Elephas maximus indicus: one gene and its partners. The protein of the gene in region 2 binds, or shares a complex with, the protein of the main gene of each other region. Links are inferred from orthologs where the notes say so. Each region holds a gene or a part of one and is shown on either strand. Other genes may lie near its edges.

Region 1 (7,985 bases), on a different chromosome or scaffold from region 2:
TTTCAAATAAGATTGAAGACGGGAAATCTGGGATTGGAGAGCCAGTATCAAAAGGGAAACTGCATGTCAGAGTGGCTGAGCAGGGGAGAGTCGTCAGCATGGCGCCCTAGCCCAACCCCTGCCTCCCACCCAGCCAGCTTCAGGGCTGACCTCATTTCCACCTTCTTTCTTTCACACCCAGTTAAAGATCTCCTTCAGCGAGACGGCCCTGGAGACGACGTACCAGTACCCCTCCGAGAGTTCGGTGCTGGAAGAGCTGGGCCCAGAGCCGGAGATCCCCAGTGCCCCTGGACCCGCAGCAGCCCAGCCCGACGAAGACGAGGATGAGGAGGAGCTGCTGCTTCTGCAGCGGGAGCTCCAGGGCGGGCTGCGCACCAAGGCCCTAATAGTGGGTGAGCGAGGCTCTGCCGCGCCGAGCGCGCCACCTGGTGTTGGGGGCTGGCACTGCAGCCTAGGAGGAAGGGAAGGGCTTAATGTTGGCGCTGGAACGGGCTCGGCAGGACCTCTAGCCCAACCCACTCCTTTACAGATGGGGAAGCTGAGGCACTGGGAAGCGAAGTGCGCAGCAGGCCTCCAGATTCCAAGATCAGGGCTTTTTTTCGGTGCTCTAGTGTAGACTCAAGGCAATGGGCAATGGGAGTGTAGTTCAAAAAACAAGATCAGACAAGCTCCTGTTTGAATTCCAGCTTGTCTCTTACTTGTGCTGTGTCCTCAGGGAAAGCATTTGACCTCTCTGGCCTCCATTTTCTCACCTCTGAAATGGGGTTAATAATAACTACCTCTGGGAATTGAGAGGATTAAATGATTTTTGTGAAGCACGCAGAACCATGGCTGGATACAAAATTATTTTATTTCACTTCTCCCGGTGTTACTGTGGAATTAAGGATTATGTGAGTGCCTGAAGGAGCCCCGGTGACGCAAATGGCTAAGCACTTGGCTGCCAACTGAAAAGTTGTCGGTTCGACCCCCTATAGCAGCTCTACCAGAGAAAGATCTGGCAATCTGCCCCGATAAAGATTATAGCATAGAAAACCTGACGAGGCAGTTCTGTTCTGTCACATGGGGTCGCTATGAGTCTAAAATGACTTGACCGCACCTAATAACATAAGAGTGCCTAGAACAGAATGCAGTACAAGGTAAATGATTGATGGTTGCTGTTACTGGTAGTAACAAGCACTCAAGACGAGGAAGAGGTTATAGGATTTGATTTCCTATATGCCAACTGCCCTTTAACTTGGGGCAAGGAGGGCAGGAGGCAAAGGCCCTCACTCATTCTCTATCATTATTGCCTCTTGTACAGATGAGTCCTGCCGGAGGTGACCCTCCCCCACACAGGGAAGATATATTGCCCTCCTTCCCAGAACTGAAGATCCTGGAGCCTAGAAGATCTTGGGCAGACAGACCCTGAAAATGAGCGTGGCAGGGAAGAACAACCAACATCCCCCAGCTTGCTTTTCTCGTCCTGTTTATGGGGGCAGAGACAACTGCTCAACTTCAACCCTAACCCAAGGTCCCTGGTGTGTCAAACGTGCTGGTGCATCTAGGTGATCCAAGAGTGAGTCCCAAGCCCTGGACAGGTGCACAGAGCCCACTGGGGGTGTGTGTGAAGATGGAGGACCCCCCATTTCCATGGGCACAGACACTGTCCCTACAGCCTTCCTTAGCTCCCCTCCCCACCAGGTACTCTCAGGATTTAAGCACTCATCTATGTCCCTGGGAGGCCTGGCCTTCACTCCGATCCCTAGATCACCACCCTTGTGTTTACAGCTCCTGCCTCCTCTCTTGACCACAGCCTGGTTTACAAACCCCACCAACTCCCAGCCCCATGCTGCCAAAACCCCACGTTTACAAGCCACGCCCACTTGCCGAGTCCACGTGGATTTCCTCTCCCCCCTCCTTCAGTTGCCTCATTGGGAGTCGCCTGGGGCGTGGCTCCTCCCACTTTTGCTCAGTATTACTGTGCCTCAGTTTTCCCCAAGAGGGAAGGCTGGGAATCTTGACTTTGTACTCCCAGATAGTTATTTAATTCTGTTCCTCCTAGTGGTTCACAATTGAATTGTAAGAGTGTGGGGTGACTAAGGAGGCACCTGCCTTTCCTTCTTTATGAATGTGGTTTTGTTTTTTAACTTTCCGTAATAAAATGGAGCTTTCTCCGACTCTCGTGTTGCTTCTCTTTCTTTAGAAAAAAAGAAAAAGTGTATGTGGAGGAAAGGCTTCGGGTTCCTCATTTCCAAGCCTCTCTCATCTTCCCATTGGCAGTGAAGAGGAAGGGGCTGTGGCTGTGGGAAGGAAGAATAATGGAGGATGAACCAGGAACTCAGCACTGAGTATAGAAGGGGCTTTAGGAGAGCCTTGCATGGGTTTCACGTGCAGGACAAGCAGATGTGAGGAAGGACAGTTGAGGTGTTCAGTAGACTAGAAGTATCATGAGGGCAGACTATGTCAGTTGGGTTCACTGTGGTGTCTCCACATCTGGCACCTAATAAGCACATAATTACTTCTAGAATGACTGAACAGATGAATTCATGAAAGGAGCTATAAAAAATAAATCTGAAGCACAGGACACTGAATTAAAGGATTGCAATATCCAGATGCTGGCTGCCATGCAAGCAACTGTAATGTGTGACACAACTCATGTGGCTACTGCAGGAGCTTTTTTTAGTCTAAGGTTTGGGGCCATCAACAGTCAGTCCTCTGAAACTGCTGCAAAATTTAGTGACTATCTACAGAAGGTCAAGTTCCTGGAAGAGGGTCTCCTCTGATAGGCAACAGATTTTATATTCTAAAGGGTTAAGAACCACCATAATTCATGGCTTTGGTACCCATAGTTGACATTAGGGGATTTTCTTATTTCAAAGAATCTATCTTCTATGTGTAACATCTGCTATAGTTTACCTATTTTTTCAGTTGCCATGAAGTTGATTCTGACTCATTGTGACTCCATGTGTGTCAGAGTAGAACAGTGCTCCATAGGTTTTTCAATGGCTGATTTTTTTTTTTTTTTCAGAAGTAGATTGCCAAATCTTCTCTTCTGAGATACCTCTGGGTGGACTTGAACCACCAACCTTTCAGTTAGCAGCCAACCACGTTAACTGCTTTATACCACGCAGGAAACATTTTACCTATGAAGTTATTTATTAGCTCTTCAGGCTAGTAAAGGCATAGTTGAGTAGTTATAGTCCTTTTACCACTACACAGGATGCCTCATCCAGTCTAACCAGAGGAGACCCCCCTTTGTTAAAAAACAAAATGTATTAGACAAATTAATCTTAAGCATATATGACAAGCAAGGTAACAAAAGAGTGAGCAGTTCAGAGAGGGTGTGGGTATGGAGGGGAACAATTCTTTTATCAGTAGCAAATTCAGTAAAGATTCTAACCAGTTGTGACCTAGAAAAGCTGGGGCAGGAAGCTCTAAGATACCAGGGGTGGTGCTCTCAGTCCACCTCTGAAACAGAAAACAAGGCATCCAAGAAGTCAATGATATGGATCCCCCTGTGCCTTTTAATGGAATAACAACGTTTCATTTTCCAACAGTAGTGTCTGATAAGTCCAATCAACCACAAGAGTATGAAGGAGGGTCAAACAGGTGAGCCAGCAGAGCTTCAGGTAACAAGTTTGCTTTCAAATAAGCAACCATCAGTGAATTACTCAAGCTATTACCAAAAGTGCAGAGTTTGCTCATTCCTTAGTTTGGATTCCCACCCCCCGCCCCAACAACTTTCTGAGCATCAAGAAAAGAGAACATCTTTGCTTTTCCCCCCAGTTCCCAAGTTTCTTCTGTCTGGAGGTCCCTCCTTATACCTAACCTGTGTTCACTCCTGCTGCAGGTACGGGTCCTAGCAAAGGTCCCTTCTCATCACTGGCTAATCTTTCAGAAGCATGGGCCTGAATTTCCTATTTGAAATATAACTCCTCTCCCCCTTACTTGCTTTATTTTTGGTTCCATAGAACTTACCTATTTTACATATTACCTATCTTGTCTGCCCGCATCCTCAAATGTAAATTCGGTAACGAATTTTTGTCTGATTTGTTCTCTGCTGTATCTTCTGCAACTAAAAAAAAAAAAAAAAACCCGCTGCAGTGGAGTGGATTCCAACTCATTGCGACCCTATAGGACAAAACAGAACTGCCCCAAAGGGTTTCCAAGGAGTGCCTGGTGGATTCGAACTGTCAACCTTTTGGTTAGCAGCCATAGCTCTTAACCACTATGGCACTAGGGTTTCCCTTCTGCAACTAGAACTACCTCAAACAAACAAACAAAACCCCACCAAATTCATGGCCGTGGAGTTGATTCTGACTCATAGCGACCCTATAGGACAGAGTAGAACTGTCCCATGGGATTTCCAAGGCTGTAAATCTCTAGGAAGCCAGCTGCCACAACTTTCTTCTGCAGAGTGGCTGGTGGGTTTGAACCGCCGATCTTTTGGTTAACTGCAGAGCACTTTAAACAATTAAAACCAGTTGCTGTGGAGTCTATTCCGACTGACACTTTAACCCCCCAAAAAAAACCACTGCCGTGGGGTCGATTCCGACTCATAGAGACCCTACAGGACAGGGTAGAGCTGCCCCACACAGCTTCCAAGGAGCGCCTGGTGGATTCGAACTGCCAAACTTTTGATTAGCAGCCATAGTACTTAACCACTAAACCCACTGCCGTCGAGTCGATTCCAACTCATAGCGACCCTATAGGACAGAGTAGAACTGCCCGATAGAGTTTCCAAGGAGCGCCTGGCGATTGGAACTGCCGACCCTTTGGCTAGCAGCCACAGCACTAGGCCACCATACTTAACCACAAATAAAAAAACTCAGTATTTGTTGAATGAATGAGTGAAGCACCCACGAGCTGACCAGCAGGGGGCGATAGCACGATTGGGTAGAGGAGGAAATGGGGGGAGGAAGTGCTTTACTCCGAGCTTCTCGTACGGTAACGCGACGCTTGAACTTGTTCGGCCACCGTAGTGCTCAGGCCGGAAAAGCGCGTCCGCTTCCGGCTTTCGGGGTCCGGGAAGACGGACTGGGTTTGTTGGAAACTGAACCCGGAGGCCGTAAGTGGGCTCCTTTGCGGAGTTTAGGGTCCGGCTCGGGGGTCCAGGCCTCTAAGCAGACTGGCCCCAGCTCGGCTCGTCCGGACGCTTCAAGGCTGGGAGTGGTGACCGTAGGTTGCCATGGCGACGCCGGCCGGGCTGGAGCGCTGGGTGCAAGACGAGCTGCACTCGGTACTGGGGCTCAGCGAGCGGCACGTAGCCCAGTTCCTGATCGGCACCGCTCAGCGCTGCGCTTCGGCCGAGGAGTTCGTGCAGCGTCTGCGAGACACCGACACCTTGGACCTCAGTGGCCCGGCCCGGGATTTCGCCCTGAGACTCTGGAACAAGGTGTCGGGAGAGGTGGAGCGCGACTGGGGCGGTGCCTGGCGTGGGAGCGGTAGGAGTAGGGGTGGAGCAGGGGAGGAGCCCTACGTAGGTCCTGGTGAGGCTGGCCTAAATGTCTGTCCCGCAGTTAAGTAACGTCAGTTCGCCAGGTGTGTATCCGTTGTCCGTTGTCACCCAGGTACTGTGCTAGGTGCTGGGCGTCCAGCTCAGTGGAGAAGATCGAGGAGAAGGCTTTAAGTATGTTACTTTTAGGCTGCGTTAAGTGCTATAGAACAGTGTGTTAAACTTGAACGTGCTTACGATTCATCTAGGCCCCTTGTTTAAAACGCAGATTCCGATTCAGGAGGTCTGGGGTGGGTCTCAGTTTCTGCAATTTCTAATATGCTCCCAGGCGATGCGGATGCTGCTGGTCCACTGACCACACTTTGAGTGGGAGGCCATAGAAGAGATTTGTGGGAAGTGCTGTGGATGGAGAAGAGGAATTAGTGACCAGAGAAGGCAGGTCCCAAGAGCCCCTAGAATTTGTCAGGTAGAGAAGGGGGAAGGAGTAGTGGTATAAATAGTGAGCTCCTGGAGCACAGGACTGTGTACTTCTTGTCTTTGTATTCCTACCACCTAAGTTCCTGCCTTGTAGAAAGAGTGAAAGTGTTCAGCATATTCAGAGAATGGCAGATAGCCTGGTGTGGCTGTGGTATATGCTGCATGGCGAGAGATGAGGTTATGTACGTGCCATGTGGACAAGACTTTCTTTTCACCAGTTTATCCTTGGAGTTTGATACAGTTCGGGGCATGTGACAAGCCTCTGCAAAACAACCCTTGTAGCTTGTCAGCCTTTTTTGTAGGAATGACCCAATCACTGGGAAGAACAAAGCCAGGAGAAAGAGGCTGAGCAATTGAGAATTGGCCTGAAAATGTAAGCTCCACAAGGGCAGGAATTTTTATCTTTTTTGTTTATTCCTTGTCTGTAGTCCCTAGAAAAGTACCTGAAACATAACAGGCTTAATAAATGTTTGCCAAATGAATGAGAGGACGTTCAAAAGTTGGAGGGTCCTATTAAGGCTAAGGAACATGATGTGAAGCCATGGGGAAGAGAGGGGGCAAAGGTTGGTTTAAGAGCGAGTAATTCCTCAAAGGGAAATTAACTTAGGCACAGGGCTAAGTAAGTGGGCAGAGGTCAGGAGTTGCTCGCACCCCATTACCTTCCCCTCTCCTGACAGGTACCACGGAAGGCAGTGGTAGAAAAGCCAGCTCGGGCAGCTGAGCGAGAGGCCCGAGCCCTGCTGGAAAAGAACCGATCTTATAAGTTGCTGGAAGACAGTGAGGATAGCAGTGAGGAGACTGTGGGTAGGGCTGGGAGCAGCCTCCAGAAGAAGCGTAAAAAACGGAAACACCTCAGGAAGAAATGCCAGGAGGACGAGGAAGAAGAGGAGGAAGTGATCTCTGAGAAAGAAAAGAGAAAGACGGGGTAAGTTAGAAGCAAGATGAGAGGGGATGGGGCAGGTGGATGATGGGACTATAAGCCCTGTGGATGCCCTTACTTAATCTCCTGGGCCGGGCTGCAGGGGGAGTAAACAGCAGACGGAGAAGCCAGAGTCAGAGGATGAATGGGAGCGGACAGAGCGCGAGCGCCTTCAGGACCTGGAGGAACGTGATGCCTTTGCTGAGCGCGTTCGGCAGCGGGACAAGGATCGGACTCGCAATGTCCTAGAGCGGTCAGACAAGAAGGTGCATAGGAGCCAGAATGTTCTGTAAATCCCCAAGAAGATCCCTGGGTCAAATCTGATGTTGGGTGTGATCCCAGAGATGGTACGAAGACAGGGATCATCTCTAGCAGTATGTTCATCTTCGGGTTCTCTGCTAAGGTACCTCCCTGCTGTACCTGCAGCCATAGAGATTCCTTACTGAGGGGATATTTCTCTGTGAGGGGGCACATCAGAATGATCCTTTGCAATTCTAAAGGGGGATGGCGATGGGTTGTCGGGGGGCTTCTTGCCCTCACAGCCCTCCCCTCTTGGTTTCTTCTCCTAGGCTTATGAAGAGGCTCAAAAGCGCCTCAAGATGGCTGAGGAAGACCGGAAAGCCATGGTGAGTCCCAGGGCCCATGAAGCCAATCAGAAGGCAAAAGGAAATACTTTCTGATGGCGAGATTAGGGGAGGGAGAAAGGATACAAAAGAAGTACAGTGGGGATGATGATGGAATGCCCAGGCCTCTGGAGGATGGTATTTGGTTGACAGGAGCCAGCTGAGCACAGAGGAACTTGGAGAAGGCCATAGGATGGAATCAAGCTGTAGAGGGAAGGAACCATGGGTGAGAGCTACCCACAAACCCTCCTTCACTCTTTACTTTAGGACCAAATCACAGTATGTATTAGGGAGATGTGAACCTTCCTTGTTCCTGGGACTTAGCGGGACTTACTCAAAAGGCAGCTGCGATGTCATCAACGGGTGGCTAGAGGGCAGGGGCAGAGCAACTGTCCCAGCTCCCCAGGGATGTCCTGACCACCATCTCCAAGTACCTTTCTACCACCTAATCCCTGCATCCCCCACATGGCTTTATGATGTCTCTGTGGCTTCCTGAGTTGGTGTTCTTACTGGACAGGGGCAGAGCCCTTTG
Region 2 (7,504 bases):
AAAAGCAATGTATTTACAATATATTAATCTACATTAAACTAAACCTTTATACTGATGTGAATTATAAAAACATTTTTGTTGCTCAATTTCGACCTCATTTTCAGTGGTTGTATTTTAAAGCCATTAACAGAAAGTGCAGATTTGGTTACATTTTGGTTAATTCCCAAACTGAACAAACCATGTGAGGACATCAGAGAGTAACCAAACTATTACTCAACAGGTATTTTATATTTGAGCCCACAGTCGTTTTAATATTAAGATACCAAGCTTAAGTGTTCAGGATATTCTTCACCACATAAGTATACCTGAGCAAAACAAATGTGTATTTTTTCTTCTAAATAACTTTTTTGTTCTTTAAAATATATACAGAACATACACCAATTCGACAATTTCTACACATACAATTCAATGACACTGATTACATGCAACTTGTGCAACCATTTTCACCCTCCTTTTCCGAACTGTTCCTCCGTTAACAAACTCACTGTTCCCTACGCTTCCTACCTAACCTTTTTGCTGTTGTCAATTTGATCCCAATGCTCAAGGTAGATATTTTTGGTTTAAAGTTTAAAGATTATTCCAGGGAAATAGTTCTCGGGATTCATCCAGCTTCAAAGCTCCAGAAAGTCTGGATTCCATGAGAATTTGAAATTCTGTTCTGCATTTTCCCCCTTTTGATCAGGATTCTTCTATAGTCTTTGATCAAAACACTCAGTAATGGTAGCTGGGCACCATCCAGTTCTTCTGGTCTCATTGCAAAAATAAATATTTTGAAACTAAACAATTTGAATTAAAAAAAGAAAATCCCATCTCAGCAGGACTGTATGAGACTATTAAGTCATGCAGTCAAATCAATTTTTATCTTTTCCAGTTACTCTCAGGCTAGAAAATATAAAATTTCATTCAAACTTAATGTATAGGATATCATGGGAGAATTCACAGATATGTCACAAACCCTAAAAGAAGGTGTAAGTAAACATTTACAGTAAAAATGTTTATACAGTATAATACATAAGGTTATATTTTCATTGTACATATTATACAAGTCACAACATACACATGAACTCATTTAACCCTAGCAACAACTCTGCCAGTTATATACTATTATTACCACCATTTTATGGATAGGAAACTTAGGCTTATTACGGTTAACCAAATTCTCCAAAGTCACACAACAGGTGAGTGAGAAAGTCTCAGCAAACACAAATGGTTCAGTTTGATTGGAGAACTAGGTTTTCAAATATCAGTGGTATAAGAATGGATGATCTCCTTGGTGGTGGATTTAAGAATGCTGTGTTAAGGAGTCTGGACTTTATTCTGCAGAAAATGAGTCCATCACTGTGGCTGTAATTTTTAAGAGGTAAGAGGAAGAATTCAGTTAAGCCAGGGTTATCTCAAACTCAGCATCACTGACATTTGGGGCCAGATAATTCTTTGTTGTTAGAAGCTGTCCTGGCCTCTGCCGGTTAGCTGCAGGCAGCAGCAGACCCCGCTCCCCAAGCTGAGAACCACTGAGTTATCCTAAACCAGGAAGAAGGTATGAAGTTGTAAAAGAAGATGGTATCTGTGATAAAGGAGGAAGAAAATTTAAAGACATTTTAGAGGCAGATCTGACAGGATTTCACAATTCATTAAATCAAGGGATTAGAAGAGCAAGGTATCAAAACTAGTTTCATCCTCAAATTCTGAAATAACATCTACTAAGAATCAGAAATCTAAAATTACAAGTAGAATGATCCTTTTATTAAAAAAAAATAATTACCATTTCATCAAGTCCTGATAAATCCTGAGGATACAAAATTTTATCAGCCCATCAATAAAATAATTTTAGATGATCGTTTTTTCGACAATAATTTCCACTTTTCTTAATGTTAATGTTGGGAGTATGATTTAATACTTAAGCCTTTAACAACTCCAATTAAGATTAATGGACAGAAATTTCGTAAAAAAGTTGGCTTTGATGCAAATGTATATTTAAATGTAAAATTATTAAATATCAATTCTTTCCCAAGTCTGACTTCTTTAAGGGGCTGGTAATAAATAAACTATACATAAGGCAGACCAGGTGGCTGACCCACAAAAACTGATCCTTGGATGCTAACCCTTTGTGCAATCCAACTACTACAGCCAGAATTCTGGCGCTACATGGTATAAACAATATAGAGAAGTACTCAGGAGACACGGAACATGTTACGCTCACTCAAGAAGTGTTTGAGGAGGTTAAGGCTTCAAACTGGGTCCTGTATAAAGCAGGAATATCCTACTTAAAAGTTCCGTTTGATTTTACTGGGTGCGGGGGTGGAGGGGGAAACAACCCTTCTCCCGATTAGAAAAATGAATGCTCTCTCATAATTCCGATGATAATAGCACAAGACGTTAAAGTTTAAGTACAAGAAGGCAAGAAAAAGGAATTGGATTTTTAAGTAAATGCTCAATCAACACAAACACACTCTCTAAGATGAAAGTGGCTTTTGACTCCTCATATCCTATAAAGACTTCCATTCCAGCCACCTTATCCAGAACATGATGCTGTTCACGATGTTCCACAAAGGCTGGCGTCGAGGTCCTCAAGTAACGAGGAAGGCCGTGGAGATGTGGGGCCGGGAGCTCGGGGACAAGGGAGGCAAATGGGCTGCATGCAGGTGCTTTTCGCGGCTTCTGGCAACCAGGCCGAAACGCAGGGTCCGTGCGGCCTTGGGCTCCGAAGCGCAGGGCCCTGACGGGGATCCGGCGGCCTCCGACCGGAGCGAGGGGCGGTGCAGGGGCCCATGCCCACCACTCGGCCTACGCACGCCGGGACGCGCTAAGGGAAATGGAGGGGGCGCCTAAGGCACCTGTGGCACGCAAAGAAGCTGCCACTGCGGCTGGGCCTTGACACTTACTTACTTTTTCAACTCGGGCGGGTGAGCCTTGCTCATCGTGGCTACTCGGGAGGTTCAGCGCCGCGTTGAAACAGAACTCGCGCCCTCCCTCACGCTCCGGCGGTCGGCTGGCGCTTTTGCGTCTGACGTCATCTATCCTGTTAGCCAATGGACTGATGGCAGCGTTCACATTTCACCTCGCGATACTTACCGGAAGCTTGAACGCGCCTCTGAGCTTCAAGCTTCCGGTTGCGTCGTAAGGGATTGGTTAGACAGCCTTTCTCAATTCCGTTTCCCCTTCTGTGAAATTGAGATAATAGTCCCGTCTGGCTTCTGAGCTACACCAGCCAATCCCGTCGGGGTAGATGGCACTGTTCATCTTCGTCATATATATACCAAATGAAAACAGCCCTGGAGTAGTTATGGCTAGCTGCCGTCTAGCCGTCCCCTGATGGTGAACCTGTGCACAATGAGATTGGACCTTTTTCCTTGGCTGATTTTTTTGGACATAGATAACCAGGCTTTCCTTCCCAATCTTAGTCTGGAAGCTCCCCTGAAACCTGTTTGGCATCATAGGAACACGCATGCCTCCACTGATTAAAGGGTAGTTGGAAACCCTGGTGGTATAGTGGTTAAATGTTACTGCTGCTAACCAAGAAGTCGGCAGTTTGAATCCGCCAGGCGCTCCTTGGAAACTCTGTGGTACAGTTCTACGCTGTCCTATAGGGTCGCTGTGAGTCGGAATCAACTCCAGGGCACTGGGTTGGTTTTGGTTTTTGGGGGGCTGTGCATGAGGTGCGTTGTCCTGGAATCGAGCTTGGACCTCCTGCATGGAAGGCAGGAATTCCATCACAGAAACTCCACTCTCTCCACCCACCCCTGGAGGAGCGAATCCCTAATGCTTCCTTGGCATTTATCACCACAGCACAGTATCACGTCAAATCCAGGGTTGCAGTAAGCATGAATTAGTGACCTCTCTCCACTAGAGTGACAGGGCTTCAGTCTCCAAGAATTTGTATCTTGAGCCCTGAAATGTATTCCCCATTGATGGCCCAGCAATTCTTGGAACACTGCCTCTATTTTGTAGTCATTCATAGAACCCTGCTTAATGTGCCATTGCCCCCACATATGAAGCGTGAGGTGTGGCACACAAAGCTCTGTATTGAGGTACCCATTTTCCACATCAAGCACACAAGTGTAAAAGGTGGTCCCTGACTTGTTCCCAGTTGTGAGGCTACTCCAAAACAGAAGAATCCACATTTATGAGTAAAACATAGCGGGGATGACAAAAGACTTAGGCCAAAATAGTAGAGTTCATTTCTGCTTTAAATACCTTGCTGATTCTAAGCAGGGGTGGTTCTCCAAAATTTAAATTCATTCCTAATGTTCGAGAACGCCTGCTGAAATACCAAGTACAGTAAGAACTTAAACTCATCAGTTATTTTGTATTCTTTTGGTACTCACAATCCTAGACATTGGATTTTCTCTAGACGGGTCAGAGCTGTGTACCTTTTCCACATGTTGCCATTAGTGTTTAGTTGAAACTAGAGACCTGACATGGATACCAAGTTTTTTTTTTTTTTTTTTTTTCCATTAATGGGCTTCAAGTCATAGTGCCCCAACCTTCCCTCAAAGTTTTTCTCATTTACAGTTGTCTTGCATCTGAACCATAACACAAAATCAATACTACTCTTCTGGACATCTTAAGAACTTATTTCACACATTACAAGGAGAAGCACCCTGAGAAAGTACACATTTGTTGTTCGGATATGAAGAAAGAAGCACAATAGTGTGGGGAAAATTAAACCTTATTTATTTTTTCTAATTAAACCACTAGGAAAATATATCACAGCCATGAAACAGCAGACAGGCTACAATAGCACTTCAAGTAATAAATTGGTAGAAAGATGACAAAGGCCTTATCAAAATGGTAAGGCGTCACTGAAGCAGGAACACTGCGCACTGCAGAGGCCTCAGGCAGAAAGTGGTATTTGGTAATGGGGGGCTGACCCTCCTTTGCTCGAAAGGAGCCACAGCTCTCCCTAGCTCCTGAGTTACTTTTCCTCCCTTGACTTTCATGTTGCCAGGTATTGGCTTAACAGGGCTGTTATTTCAGGGGGCTAAGCAGGCAGCTGGACACATCATCAGGAAACACCAATCACTCGAAAACGACGTTATGTTGGTAGAGCGCCAACAAAAACGAGGAAACCCTAAATGAGACAGATTGCCACAACAGCTGAAATAATGGACTCAGACATGCCAATGATCATGAAGACGGCACAGGACCAGGCAACACTTAGTTTTGTTATACATAAAGTACCATGAGTTGGACCCGACTCGATGGCAACTAACAACAACAAAAACAACAAGAAGTAAGTAATGCTGGGTTTAGGCCTTCATTTCATTCAGTTATATGAAAAACTAGGTTTATCCAAATCCAGCACAACTTTCTTAATTAAGCAGCCGACAGTTTCTCTTTCATCATTCATTCCCAGATATTGGTATGTATCACAATCAAAACCCCTTTTCCTTCAAATGAGTAGTGTCATTGCAAGATTGTCCTGTCACTCTACTGCAGACAGCCTCAGAGGCCACCAGAGCAGCCAGCGAGAAGGAAGTTCTGCTTCCCATACCCAGTGTGACACGGTCTCCCGTTTTTGCACGGTCCCAGGCTGAAAGGTGCAATATATGAGAATTTCAAGAAAAGCACATCTTGACAGTCAGATGGCCAAAGAGCCTTTCAAAGTTTTCATCCAACTACCCTGTCTCCCAGCTTGACATCTTAATCAATATCAGGCTCTTGGATATAAAACAAAACTAAGCAAAACAAAGACCCAGATCTCTGTTTTCCACTTCTGCATTACTGATCTTATGGATTCTGTTTTACAGCTTATGGAAAATGGGGTGGCGATACTTCTTGTAAACAGGAGGTTGGCAACAAACAGAAATACTCTCTTCAAACACCACCAGGTCATAGGTAGGCTGGAGGAACATGCCAGCCTGTTGGTACTTATGTGAGAAGCAGAATCTGGTGTGTTGGAGGCTCTGGCTTGATACAGCTGCTAGGATAAGCACTTGCCACATATAATTTAGGCTGTAAATAACTCTCCTGTGCTACCTACAACCCAAATTTTAGCACCAGTTTTTCCCACTTTACTTGCTATGGATTAAAACCTATAAAAGAACCAGCATCCACAGAGCCAGGTGACATAGTCCTTAAACTTGCTGCCATCCTTAATTTCTTCATTCCTAAACCTCACTTAAAAAACCAAAATTCCCATCCTGCCCTCATTCACAATGGCCACTAGCAAAGACTTTTATTTTGCAATGGATGAGAGAGACTCCTTCATCTTCTTGGTCATGGACGGGATGAGATGCATGTGGTCATCCACACACTTGGTCACACAGCTCTCCAGCTGCTGCTTCACCACAAGTTCCTTATTCCCTGCATCCATTGAGTCTCTGGCTTTGTCATTGCAATGCATGGTACACCGGGCCAGGCGGTCCTGTGGTAAGAAGGAAGAAGGCAGAAAAGGCTGAGAGGCTGCCTCCATTTACCCTGGGCTACAGGCTTGACATACGTTATCTTGACCAATTAAAGAGACACTGTAGTGCAAGTTGGGGCCCTGCTGACTCAGCTGCTAACTGGTCAGCAGTCTGAACTCACCGGCAGTTCCTTGGAAACCAGATGGGGCAGTTCTACTGTCTCACAGGGTTGCTATGAGTCGGAATCAACTTGACGACAATGGGTTTGGTTTTGGGTAGTACAGCTGGAGTCCCCAAGTGGAGCAAACAGTTAACGCACTCAGCTGCTAACTGAAAGGTTGGAAGTTCGAGTCCACCTGATGGTGCCTTGGAAGAAAGAGCTGGTGGTGATCTACTTCCAAAAAATCAACCACTGAAAACCCTACGGAGCACATTTCTATCCTGACACACAAGGAACTGCCATGAGTCAGAGCTGGCTGATGACAACTTGTTTTTGCTTTCTTTCTATAATGCAGTTACTCAAAACCAGGTAGGAGTCTCTGGGTGGCGTAAATGGTTAAGCATTCTGCTACTAACTGAAAGGTTGGTGGTTCAAATTCCCTCAGAGGTACCTCAGAAGAAAAGACTTGGTGATCTACTTCCAAAAAGTCAGCCATTGAAAATCCTATGGAGCACAGTTCTACTCTGACACACACATGGGGTTGCCATGGGTTGGAATGGACTTGATGGCAGCTGGTTTGGTTTTTACTCAAGACTACCCTGATTGAAGCAGACAGTGGTGCCAGGAGGGCCCAGACTAAACAGCACTACAAATAAACCGGAATAAACTGTACACAGTGCTTCTAGGACGCGAGAAGTTACTGCAGCTCAGGGGTCCAAGACCACACAAAGACTTAAAACATCTTGATGCTTTAATGTCTGTTCATGCTACTGAAAAACACTCAATTCAAAAAATATTATTGAGCATCTACTATATGCCAGGCACTCTTCTAATTATGAGAAATACGGCAGTGAGTAAGGCAGTTCCTGCCCTCATAGAACTTGCATCTAGTGAGGGAAGGTAGACAGACAAAAAAAATAAGTGGAGATGTTGAGGTAACAATTGGTTATATGAATCTGGATTTCAGGTACAATGTGTGGTCTAGAAACTGAATGTA
Region 3 (6,837 bases), about 17 Mb from region 2:
ACTCCACTTACATCAAGCACGAAACAAAACACTGTGCAACTTAATGGTACATATATGAGATAAAACTGTAAAGTAGAAAATAATGCAATGAAAATTCGAGACAGCAACTACTCAAGCAGGAAAGGAAGCAGATACAACCAGGAAGGGGCCTACAGGAGCTTCTAAGGTACTGGTACTTCTTAAGCTGAATGGTGTTAGGAGACAATTCTCTATGGGTCTCACTTTTCTGCACATCTTGTGACCAGAGGCACTGCCAGCCTCTGCTGCAGATCATCTTGTCAGGGATGTTGGTACAGTGAACAGCCTTGAAAGAGAGAAACAGTGTTTCCTTACAAAGTAAAGGCAAGGTTACTGTCCGTTATAAAAGATCCAGGTTCTCAAAGCTCAGGGTTCCTCTCCCGTGAGGCACCGTGTGTACAGGTGAACCAAGCCGCCCTGTGGGAACTGACTCAGGGAACTCACACAGATGCTGGTAGTCTCACCACTGCTACTGCTGTGAGTAATAAACTGTCCTTTGTCTTTGAACCAGGAGTTCCATATTTTTTATCAGCATCCATGAAACTGTGCCAGACTAACTTGTTAGCCTGCAAATAGGATAAAATCTTAGACCTTTCACAGTTCTTGGCAAGTGGTAGATTTATGGATATATATTCATGCTCATCTTTAAACGGTACCTGTTCACTGTAAATTCAGTCCATCTTAATGCCTGTGATATATTTCACAATTTTTTTTAAAGACATTAACAGTAACTGGAATCCTAATACGTCCACCAGAGAAAACAATCTCCTCACCACAATTATGCAAAATATCTCACAAACCATTTCCCTTGCCAGGAAGGGGATACCTGAGGCTGACACAGTTATTTAAGTAAAGGAAGTCAGAGAATACCCTGAAGTTATTATTCAAAGATAATCAAGCTCTTTCTATGAGCAGGAAGCCCTGGTGGCGTAGTGGTTAAGTACTACGGCTACTAACCAAGAGGTCGGCCGTTCGAATCTGCCAGGCGCTCCTTAGAAACCCTATGGGGCAGTTCTACTCTGTCCTATAGGGTCACCATGAATCGGAATCCATTCGAGGACACTGGGTTTGGTTTGGTTTTCTATGAGCAAGATGCTATACTAGACCCTGCGCATAAAACAAAAATATATCAAACAGATAACCTGACCAAGAAATTTAAGAGCAAATATTACAGTATAATCATATACAGATAACCAGTACCACAAGGTACAAGAGACCCCTCCAGACACCGCCCCCCTCCGCTAGCATGTAGATGAGTGATATACGCATCTGCCATTTCAATAGACTTCTACTAACTCACCAGAATACAAGTATACAGGAATATATTGAAGTCAAGAGTACAAAATTGGGAGAAGGAATAGAGGATGTAATTGGGTTGGACAGGAAAAGTTACAAAGGTGATAACCAGCTGCTGTGAAGTGGACTCCAACTCAGGGCAACCCCACATGTGTCCGAGTAGAACCGTGCTCCACATGGTTTTGAATGGCTGATTTTTCCGAAGTAGGCCACTGAGGCACTTCTGGGTGGACTCGAACCACCACCCTTTCAGTTAGCAGCCAAGCATTACCATTTCCACCACCCAGGGACTCCTCAGAGGTGGCAGGCACCTATTTGATGAGCGGTAGACTTTCAACAGGATTCCCTGAGTGGCACAAATGGTGAAGCACTTGACTACTAACAGGAAGATTGGTAGTCTGAGCCCACCAAGCAGTGCCTCAGGAGAAAGCCTGGTGATCTGCTTCTGAAAGGTCGCAGCCTAGAAAACCATACAGAGCAGGTCCCATCTGCACACATGGGGACGCCAGGAGTTGGAATCGACTCCATGACAACAACAGACTTTCAACAAGTAGGAAGAGAGAGCACTCTACACAGAAAACCAAGGCTGGGCGATGGTTCTCCAGATCTCACCCTCTCACAAGTACTAGGGGACACCGAAAGAGCCCAGAGGAAGGAGGCAAAGGGGGAATTCATGGAGGGAGTAACAGTTTCACTGGCAGGGCTACTTCCACTAATTTAGAGACAGACCAGAATATGAAACCCACCTGCCCAAACCAGAGTGACTCAATCTCAGAGGAAGGACCAGAATCCAGACCTCCTGACTGCTACACCCCAAAGGGATAACGGGGTAGTTTTATGCAGGTGCACAGCACTCAGGCTCTTAACTGAACGGTCTGATCCCAGAAATTACAGCAAAACTCACACACCTCAGCTTTGTTGTAAAAAGTGAAGGAGTTAACACCTGAGAAGTAATCAACCCAGTGCCGGACCCTCCATAGGGATTCAGTAAAGGCAGGCTGCTGTTAATATTAACAAAAATACTACAACTACAATTATTAATATTAGCGGTCCCTAAGTGGTGCAAACAGCTAAGCGCTCGGATACTAACCTAAAGGTTGTCGAGTGGAACCCACCCAGAGGCGGCTCAGAAGAAGGGCTTGGCGATATGCTTCCAAGAGGTCACAGGCTTAAAACCCTACAGAGTGCAGTTCTACCCTGCACACATGGGCTTGCCATGAGTCCCAATCAACTCGATGGCAACCATTCGGGTTTGGGCTTTTCATTACTAATACTAGTACTGTCCTCGTTGACATCTGGATTCCCCCACCCCCACTCCTTGCAGGGAAGTCTCAGAAAGTCGGAAAGAAAGGACGAGGAAGGGTGGAGCCCGGCCCAACCCGGCCCGGCCCGGCCCCGCGCACCTCGCACCTCCCGCTCAGGCTCCGAGTCCTCATCCGCCTCGCGCTCCCGCTTCACCCGCACCACTGGGTAGGCGGGCGCCGGGGCCTCGCGAGCGCTCGCAGGCTCTGCCTCCCGCTTCACGCGCACCGGGCTGCCCCGGGAGCTCGCCGCCTCGGGCTCCCGCTCCCGATCTCGCTCCCGCTTGACGCGACCCGAGCTGCTCCGGGACTCGGATTCGCGTTTCCCGCGGGCAGAACCACGAGACTCCCGCTTGGACCGGCTAGACATCGCCACTACCAGCCGACCCGCCCGCGCAGACGCCAAGCACGCTGGGAGTGCCCGTCACGCGGCCAATCAGGAGCGGCGCTGTTACCGAGCCCAGGGGACTCTACGAGTCGCTTATGGGGACAAATCGCGCCGCCGGAAACTTGCAGGAGTCATCGCGCTTTTAGCGTTTTGCTTGCCATTGCGAGCGCTCTTGAGAATGTTTTGCGGGCCTACAGCCACCTTACTCGTAATTTCCAGTTTCAAGAAGCAGGAACCCTTTATTGGCAATCGCGTTTCTGAATCAAAGAAGGTGTCATACGGCCCTAGATTTGTTCAAGATATTTGTGACTGAAAACCAGAATCGGGAGGCTGGCTCCCACGGTCTCGGGATGTCAGAGCCTGACGCTCCTGCGCAGTACAACTAGGCGACATCCCCTTTTTGCAGCACCCTGGTGGCCCCAATTCCGACAGCGTTGCTCTTAGTACCACCAAACCAAACCAAAAAAAAAAAAAAAAAGACAAACCAAACCCACTGTCGTCGAGTCGATTACAACTCACAGCGACCCCATAGGACAGAGTGGAACAGCCCCGCAGGGTTTCCAAGAAACAGCTGGTGAATTTGAACTGCCGAACTTTTTTTTTGGTTAGCAGCCGAACGCTTAACCACTACGTTGCCAGAGTTTCCCTTGGTACCACAGGAGTAAGCAAATGCCCAATCGGGGCAGATTTACCAAGAAGCTGGTAAAACTCAGGCTTCAGGGCCTGTCACCACCCCCTTCTAACCCCTGTACTAGTATGTTTCTTGTTTTAACAGCTCTGTATGGGGCGGTTCTACTGTGTCCTTTAGGGTCGCTATGAGTCAAAATCGACTGTACAGCAACGGGCTTGGTTTGGTTTCTTAATTGAGTTATAGGAGCCCTGGTAGCATAGTGGTTAAGAGATCGCTTCTAACCAAAAGGTCGGCAGTTCGAATCCACCAGCCTCTCCTTGGAAACCCCCTGGGGCAGTTCTATTCTGTCCTATATATAGGGTCATTATGAGTTGGAATGACTGGACTGCAACGGGTTTGGTTTTCCGATTACTGAGGTATAAGTGACATACAATGAACTGCACATGTTTAAAGCGTACAATCTGGTAAGCTTTGACAAATGTATACACCGGTGAAACCATCACTACAATTAAGATAATGAAGTGTCCCCCTGCCCCACCCATCCAGCTATAGACTAATTTGCATTTCCTAGAGTTTTAAATACACGGACCCTTACAGTACGTACTCTTTTTTTTGCGGGGTAGGGGGGCTGGTTTCTTTCACTCAGCATAATCATTTGGGGATTCTTCCACGTTGTTGGTTTATCAACAGTTCATTCCTCTTGATTGCTCAGTAGTATTCCATTGTGTTGATGTAACACAGTTGGCCCTATTTTAATCATAAATTCCTACCTTTTATCTTTTTTTCAAAAAGAGCTCGAAAATTATATAGGTCTGGCTGGCGGCACGTCTTCGCCCAGGCCGCCCAGCACTTTGCCTCCTACCAACCTAGCAGGCGCGTGCTATCCGTGTCCCCATTTACAAGTGCGGAGACTGAGGCACTGGGGGATTAGGTCACGCGGCTGGTGATGGAGGTTCACAGTATCCTATCACCAGAATAAAGACAGGAAGGCTCCACAAGGGACGTTGAGTAATACAATGGGTGATTTGTACTTTCCTGATGTATTTTGGCTTCTGAGCAGTAAGCCTAAGTCTTGTCTCGCATTGATAATGTTACAAAGGAAACAAACAGCCCGGTCAAGTGGCGGAAGCGCTTCCCTGGCCTCCCCACTCCGCCACTCCCTTGTCATTTCAGCGCGAGCAGCACTCGGCCTCCTTGGCCCGTCCGGGACCGGAAGTCACGACGCGGAGCCGGAAGTTGAGCTAAGGGAGAGGCGGGCCTCTTCCGACGGGAGGGCGGCCGTTGAGACCGTTGAGGCGGCTGCTGCTCCGCGAACAGGGCTTCAGATGGAGGCGGCGCCGGCTCCCGGGCCGGGGCTCTGCTGCAAGCCTGGCGGACGACTGGACATGAGCCACGGCTTCGTGCAGCACATCCGACGGAACCAGATCGCTCGGTATCGCCCCTCCCCGCGCCGGCGCCACCCCCTGCCTGGCCCAGCCGGGCCGCCCCTGACTCCCGCTCGGCTCCCCATAGGGACGACTACGACAAGAAGGTGAAGCAGGCAGCCAAGGAGAAGGCGAGGAGGCGGCACACGCCCGCGCCGACGCGGCCCCGCAAGCCCGATCTGCAGGTGTACCTGCCGCGACGCCGAGGTGAGGCCGCCCGCCCCGCCTGCCTCCTCCAGCCCGCGCGCCCTTCCGGCCCCGGGCCCTCTGCTGCGACGCACTCCCCTTCTCTGTATGGAAAAAAACCACTTCTCGTCCCCCGAGGCTCCGATCACGTCGCCCCTGCCCGGAACCTCTGCTTCAGCCGTCCCCCACCTCGGTTTAGTTATTCTCCCCGGGGAACAGGGAGGACTCATGGCCCCCACTTAAAAATCCCGATTGCTGTTACAGGAGATACTTGTAGCAAAAAGTTGTTTGTGGGTTTGCCCCGCCATACCGTACCTCTGTATCTGCAGTGCTTGGCGGAGGGGAAACCTGGCCCAGCTATAAGTGACCAGGACACAATTGTGGAATAAAACCCAAACCCAGTAAATGGATTTTTCCCTAGCTTCACTGGGATCTAGAGATCAGAGTAACTAACAGTGCAATAGTGCCTTTACCTTTTCCATACGCTAACTTATTTAGTGTTCGTAGGATCCCGTAAGATGGAAATGATTATCACATCTGTTTCACAAGTGAGGAAACTGGGCACAGGGAAGTTAAGTAACTTGCCTGAAATCTGAGAGCTACTAAATGGCAGAGCCTGGATTTGAACCCAGGCAGTGGCTCCAGAGACTGTTCTATCCACTCCTCCAATACCTTCCAATCCTATTCACCAGACAAACAGGCATTGTATACCTACTATGTGAAAGGACTGTGCTGGGTTCCCAGCAATGATATAAAGGTAAATAAAACTGCTTCTAATTGGTAGCACACCACACACACATACACACAATTCAGGGCCCATAAGAAGATTGGGACTTTGTTTTCCTGCGTCATCTCTGTGTGCAAGGGCTCCAACTGCCTCCCTCTCTTCCCTCTCACTTTGGTTCATCCCTCCAGATGGTTCTACTCACACAGGCAACCCAGACTATGAGGAGTCCGGTGACAGCAACAGTAGTGGTGGATCTGAGCTGGAGCCTTCTGGCCATCAGCTTTTCTGCTTAGAATATGAGGCGGACAGCGGAGAGGTCACGTCAGTTATCGTGTATCAGGTACGCCTCCTGTGGAAACAGCTGCAGCCTAAAGGCCCTGGGCCATGGTAGGCGTTACTGCCAGACCCTGAGCTGCTGTCTGACTCAGGGCCAGTGGGAAGAGTGCATTCCACGTGGGAGCATAGGACTATTGGGCAATGCTTTACAAACACGACTCCCTCCCATCTCACAGTGATTTTCAGAAGGGAACAGGGAAGGCTCGTGCCCCCAGTTGAGAATCACTATTACAGGGGATAATCTGGGAAATGACAGAGCCAGCAGGAAGCCGTGAGCCAAACGGAGTTCTGTGAGAGCATTGTCTGGGGATGGGGCAGGCTGCCTTTCCAGAAGAGGCCAGGCCCTGAGCTTCCTGACTCTTCCTCCACGTAGGACGATGACCCCGGAAGGGTGAGTGAGGAGGTGTCAGCACACACGCCTCTGGATCCACCCATGCGAGAGGCCCTCAAATTGCGCATCCAGGAGGAGATTGCAAAGCGACAGAGCCGACACTGAGGGGTTGAAGGCATTGTCTCCAGGCTGGGTTTAC
Region 4 (5,662 bases), on a different chromosome or scaffold from region 2:
AATGATGGTTCGGTTTTTTTCTGTTTGGTAGGCTTTGGGTTTGTTTGGCCTCCTCCCTACCGCTCTTCCCCGCTCCCTGTATAATGTAAACCACAAAAGCCTGGAAAAATGCCTGACACGAAGAGCTCAACAAATATTTGCCGAATGTTGAATGAACGAAAGAGCTCATTTGCTAGCTTGTCAGTCCTGACGACAAAGCGAAAAGTCCCAAAAGATGATGCAATTTACACAGAGAGAGAGAAAGACAATGACAGCTAAGACTTCAAAAATGGGAGAAAAGGGTGGGATACACTGATCACAAACCTCAATACTGACAGTATTATGGCGGTAGAAAAAAATCGTTGAGAAAATTCGGGATGAGGGAACATCATAAAATATGCGCAAGGCGGATTTAAGCGCCTGGCACTAAATGCTGGCCTTGAAATGCCCGTCATCTCCTGCTCGGCCTCCCAGGAAACCTTAGTCCCCAAAGCCCTCCCTGGGTCCCTCCACACTCGAACACATGTAGTCCACACCAAGAGAGTGAACAATTTCTAAACTTTATAGATAAAACGAAAACGGCAATCAAGTAGCCAAAAAACGAGCCTTCAAATCCCGTCTCGCTCCAGTACCGCCTCCCCTAACGCTTGCCGGCTCTAGGATCTTTCCACGATCCCAGTTCTCAGAAGTCCTGATTGTCTCCCACCGCTGTGTTCCGAAGGGTAAGCAGGAAGGCAGGTCAGGCAGGACGACCCTGGGTAACCATGTTTGTTCGAGGAAAGCGCGAGCAGCCGGAGTCATGGAAAATCGGTCTTCTTGGGGCAGGAATGCGCTGGAACGACGGGAAAAACGAGGAACGCTGGGAGATGTTCCCGCACAGCGGTGTTAATGCGGCGTCTCAGTTCTCCTCGGGCTTGTCCGCTGGCGGCCCGCAAGGCTGCAGCATCTTCTCCATCAAGTTGAAGCGGACTCGTGCCTTGCTCTCATTCTCCGCAATGGCGAAGTAGTTGAGAAGGTCGAAGTGGCCCATGTAGGAGCAGTACGAGTCCCGGTGCTGGTTCACCAACCACTCCCACTTGGTGGTGTCGGCGTGGCCGGTGCCAATGTACTTGGACTGCAGATGCTCCAGCTGGCTGTGGATGGTGTAGCGGTCCGTCATCTCGCCGTGTTCCCTTTTGATCCCGGGTCGGAGGCCACAAAACAGAAGTAGCTGCTCTGGGGTGTCAGGCCTGATAGACGGAAATCTCCGGACCCGCGCAGTCGCAAGATGATGGCGTCAGAGCGACGAAGCCGCGTTGACTCTTGGCCGTAGTGCTCAGACGGGGAAGCGGAAGCGTATTCTGCTACCTAATTGGGGTTGCCTAGGCGACAGAACAAGTGCCCCGCCCCTATAGGGACAGTCACGCCCCCTTCGTAGAGCGTTGCATGATGGTCCATTTAGTGGCTTTTGGCCGCGCCGTTTCACCTGGGGTCGTTGTTTGCTGGAACTGTAGTCCCCCTGGGTTCGTGCATGCAGGTTTTTGGGATCCCTTCTTGGTTATAAGAGGCCACGGGCGGCTTGGGGCTGGAGGAAATGGGGAACGCAAACTGGATAGCACTACAATGGACTCGATATAATTATGCTTTCGGAGTTCATGTGGCGGTACGGTAGCCCCTTTGCAGCCAGAGGTCGATCACCCTAAAGTCAGGAGATGCGAATTCTGGTCCCAACTCTGCCTCTTAATAAATTGTACGGATTGAGGGAATTATTTCAATTTTCAGGCCGCCGTTTCCTGCTTGATGACCAAAGTACAGTGCCAGTTCTGACACGTTCCGGCTTCCACACACAAGCTCCTCCTTCCACCCTAGCTTCTTATTTTGAGATCCTCCCTCCAACTCCTCACCCCATCCTACACGGCCCCAGCCTATACTTAATGTTACGTGCTGCTCGCGTCTCCAGTTCTTTGTACAAGCTGTTCTATTTGGAATGCCTTTGTTCTCTTGGCAAACACTTCTCCCTTTCAGTCAGCTCAAAAGCATCTCTTTGAAGCCTGCTCTGGCTACTCCAGACAGATGTAAACTCCTTCCTTTTTATATCTCGTACACCTCTTCTTTATTATCGCTTTATACTTTGATTTTTGGTTTAATAATGTTTCCTCGTGAGAATAGAAATTCCTTGAGAAAAGAATCCTATGGTTCTTTTATGATATTCCCATAGCCTAGCAGAATAGTTGGGAGAGATTGTAGTCTCAAAAAAACATTTGATGAAAGGGTAAACAACTGTATAACTAAATAGAAAAAAAAAAATAGAAGGAACTCTTTATTGGGAGAGATAACGAAAATATTTTTGTTCTGCTGTTTAAACTTTGTCATCACATATCATTTCTAAAGTGTAGACAATAATGTTTAGACAATATTATAAAGCATACCTTTGAGTTCACCAAGCAGAATTTTCAAACATTGCCATTTTTGTTATTATTTTGCCTTTGTTTGTTTTAAAGAAAACGATACAAATAAACTTCAAGTTTCTGAGTTCTTAATCTGTACACGTCAGGACAAAAACCAAACCAGCTGTCCTCTAGTTGATTCATGGCGACCCCAAGTGTGTCAAAGTAGAACTGCATTCCGTAGGGTTTTCAACGGCTGTGATCTTTCTGAAGTAGATATCCAGGCTTCTCTTCCCAGGCGCCTCTGGGCCCACCCGCCAAACTTCAGGTTAGCAGCCAAGCATGTTAACTGTTTGCATTTCCTAGGGACTCAACACTATTCTGAATTTAATCATTCCTGAGCCTGTTTTTCTATTGCTGAATGTTTTTGTATAGGTGTTAGTGTAACACATGTTGTAAAGTAAGGGGGAAAACCTCTGGATGGTGGCTGGGAGAAGCTATGCTGGCATTTCCACTTCTTCATGGCCCTAGTGCCGCTGCACTGACCACTGCACTGACCACTGCACTGACGGATAATATCAACATCATTACAGGGGCTGTCCACCAATCCCGATGGACCACGCCCCTGAACATTGCCATGAACATGCCCTGAAGAAGAACCCACCCCTCTTGTTTCCTCCCCATATATAAACCCCTGTGCCTGGAGATCAGAGAGGCGTCTTGGAGACCCAGGGTGAGATCCTTCACTTGGCCAAGCAGGTAAAGATTTTCTTCCTTCACTTTTGCCCAACTCGTGCCTCAGTGTCATGCCAAATGAAACCTAGAGGTCTGAAAACAAAAGCTTTACCTAAATGAAACTGAGTATGTATTGTTATGGAGCCTCTGGCTGGTGCAAACGGTTAATATGCTTTGCTGCTAACCCAGAGTTTGGCATTTCCAGCCCTCCCAGAGGCACCTTGGAAGAAGGCCCTGGTGATCTACTTCTAAAAAATCAGCAGTTGAAAACCCTACGGAGCGCAGTTCTACTCTGACACACATGCAGTTGCCATGAGTTGGAATCAAGTCCACAGCAACAGCTTTTTGCGTGTGCGTATTGTTATAAAAGTTGCTTCTTTTTTCACACTTCAGTATCCATGTTGATATATTTAAATTTAGTTCAAGTTTACTGCTGTGTAGTTTGCCACTGAATGGACATACTACAATATGTCCACTCTTTCACTAATGGACTTAGTTTATTTCCAGATTACTGCCATTAGAAACAATACTGCAATGAATATTCTTGTACGTATATTCTTAAACAGCTGAAGGAGTTTCTTTAGGGCATATACACAGGAATAAAGTCGCTAGGACATACAAATGAGTGTCTTCAAGCTTTGCTTGACACTGCCAAAATGCTCTCCAAAGTAATTATACCAATTGACTCTCCACCAGCAGAATGAGAATTCCTCTTGCTCCACGTTCTTTTCAATACTTGGTGTCATGGATTGAATTATGTTCCCCCCAAAAAGTGTGCATCAACTTGGTTAGGCCATGATTCCCAGTATTGTGGTTGTCCTCCATTTTATGATTGTAATTTTATGTTGAGAGCATTAGGGTGGGATTGTAACATCCCCCTCACTCAGGTCACCTCCCTGATCCAAGGTGAAGGGAGTTTCCCTGGGGTGTGGCCTGCACCACCATTTATCTCTCAAAAGATAAAAGGAAAGCGAAGCAAGCAGAGAGTTGGGGACCTCATACCACCAAGAAAGCAGCACCAGGAGCAGAATGTGTCCTTTAGACCAGGGGTCCCTGTGTAAATAAGCTCCTCATCCAGGGGAACATTGATGAGAAGGCTGACAGAAAGAGAAAGCCTCCCCCTGGAGCCGACGCCCTGCATTTGAACTTGTAACCTACTAGACTGTGAGAAAATAAATTTCTCTTTGTTAAAGCCATCCACTTGTGGTATTTTTGTAATGGCAGCACTAGATGACTAAGACAGTTGGTGTTGTCAGACATTTAAAAATTTTGTATACCTGAATGGTGGGTTGTCATTTCACTGTGGCTTTAATTTGCATATCCCTAAATTTTTTTTTTTTAATTACTAGGAAAGTTGTGTTACCAATCGCCAATCTGACACAATGGGTCCTTGTCTTTTCCCGAGTAAAAATACACGCGAAAGACCAACTTTATCTTCGGCAAGCTTTGTTTTGCTTGAGTCCAGTAAAAGAAGTCATTGGGGGACTAAGCCTCCACAAGGCTGACTTGAAAAGGGAAGCAAGGCTAGGGCTTATATGGGTTTGGTGGAGGCAATAAAGTAATGAATATTTAGTGGGCTTCTTTCACGGTACTTCTCAGTGCGCGCATCTGGAATCCAAGATGGAACCCACTGATATTCAAGATGGAGTCCTCTTGGCAGCCCTTGGCATCACTCATTATGGCATATAGCACAAGTGCACTGATCTTTGGCACTACATCACCATGTTTGGAGAGCTAAGAAAGGTTAAATCGCGGTCACACTTCGTTATGTGCATGCGGGAGCCTGTAAAGGGGGGGAAAAAAAGGAAGGGACTAGAAAAACACTAAGAAGGAGATAGTAATTCACAGGTTGTTTCAACCTTATGTTGACAGTGTGTGGTTCCTGTTTACCCAACTTGTAGATGGTAATCTTTTAACAGCTCTTTTGTTCTGCCAGCACAGTTAACCCTATCTGTCTCAGTCGAACATCTTCCAACTTGTTCTTTGGCCTATTGGGTTTCTGCTTCTGTGAACTACATATTCATATCCTTTGCTCATTTTCTTATTGGGATGTTTGTCTTTTTCTTACTAATTTTTAGGAGATCTTTATTTATTAAGATACTAGTCTTGCCAGTTATATGCAATGAAAGGATCTTCTCCCACTCTGTGACTTATCTTTACTCTTTTGTTGTGGTATCTTTTGTTGTACAGAAGTTTTTAAATTTTAAAGTAGTCAATTTATGAGTCTTTCTTTATGGTTTATGCTTTTCTCATTTGGTTTATTATTTGTTTTCTTCTGGTGCCTGATGGCTTCTTTTGTTGCTCACTTTCTATTTGTTCAAGTTGTAGGGACAGTTCTCTGCTTTTGGCTCTTTCTTCTTTTTGTATGTGTGCATTTATCGATATAAATTGGCCTCTGAACACTGCTTTTGCTGTGTCCCAGAGGTTTTGATAGGAAGTATTTTCATTCTCGTTGCATTCTATGAATTTCCTTATTCCCTCCTTGATGTCTTCTATAACCCAGTCTTTTTTCAGGAGGGTATTGTTCAGTTTCCAACTATTTGATTTCTTTTCCCTAGTTTTTCTGTTATTGATTTCTAGTT

The links.
Region 1: SNRPG (region 2) and DHX16 share a complex: the UniProt entries of both Homo sapiens proteins name them as parts of the minor spliceosome. The link is inferred for Elephas maximus indicus from reciprocal best matches to the Homo sapiens genes SNRPG and DHX16.
Region 3: SNRPG (region 2) and USP39 share a complex: the UniProt entries of both Homo sapiens proteins name them as parts of the U4/U6-U5 tri-snRNP complex. The link is inferred for Elephas maximus indicus from reciprocal best matches to the Homo sapiens genes SNRPG and USP39.
Region 4: SNRPG (region 2) and SF3B5 share a complex: the UniProt entries of both Homo sapiens proteins name them as parts of the minor spliceosome. The link is inferred for Elephas maximus indicus from reciprocal best matches to the Homo sapiens genes SNRPG and SF3B5.

What each region holds. Positions count from the first base shown.
Region 1 is NC_064819.1:90,992,572-91,000,556, reverse strand, and holds the start of DHX16 (pre-mRNA-splicing factor ATP-dependent RNA helicase DHX16), read left to right. Parts: upstream 1-4,980; 5' UTR 4,981-5,167; coding exon 5,168-5,374; intron 5,375-6,588; coding exon 6,589-6,836; intron 6,837-6,933; coding exon 6,934-7,096; intron 7,097-7,107; exon of another isoform or gene 7,108-7,206; coding exon of another isoform or gene 7,207-7,233; exon of another isoform or gene 7,234-7,334; coding exon of another isoform or gene 7,335-7,399; coding exon 7,400-7,456; intron 7,457-7,606; coding exon of another isoform or gene 7,607-7,679; intron 7,680-7,985. Other genes in the region: PPP1R18 (phostensin), read left to right, coding at 182-392, 1,301-1,320. UniProt on the Homo sapiens protein: Required for pre-mRNA splicing as a component of the spliceosome. Contributes to pre-mRNA splicing after spliceosome formation and prior to the first transesterification reaction.
Region 2 is NC_064835.1:65,894,534-65,902,037, reverse strand, and holds the start of SNRPG (small nuclear ribonucleoprotein G), read right to left. Parts: upstream 3,014-7,504; 5' UTR 2,919-3,013; coding exon 2,887-2,918; intron 1-2,886. Other genes in the region: protein FAM136A, read right to left, coding at 6,179-6,367. UniProt on the Homo sapiens protein: Plays a role in pre-mRNA splicing as a core component of the spliceosomal U1, U2, U4 and U5 small nuclear ribonucleoproteins (snRNPs), the building blocks of the spliceosome.
Region 3 is NC_064835.1:48,988,100-48,994,936, forward strand, and holds the start of USP39 (U4/U6.U5 tri-snRNP-associated protein 2), read right to left. Parts: upstream 3,016-6,837; 5' UTR 2,986-3,015; coding exon 2,718-2,985; intron 1-2,717. Other genes in the region: C17H2orf68 (UPF0561 protein C2orf68 homolog), read left to right, coding at 4,960-5,066, 5,147-5,633.
Region 4 is NC_064819.1:214,617,785-214,623,446, forward strand, and holds SF3B5 (splicing factor 3B subunit 5), read right to left. Parts: upstream 1,268-5,662; 5' UTR 1,139-1,267; coding exon 878-1,138; 3' UTR 521-877; downstream 1-520. UniProt on the Homo sapiens protein: Component of the 17S U2 SnRNP complex of the spliceosome, a large ribonucleoprotein complex that removes introns from transcribed pre-mRNAs.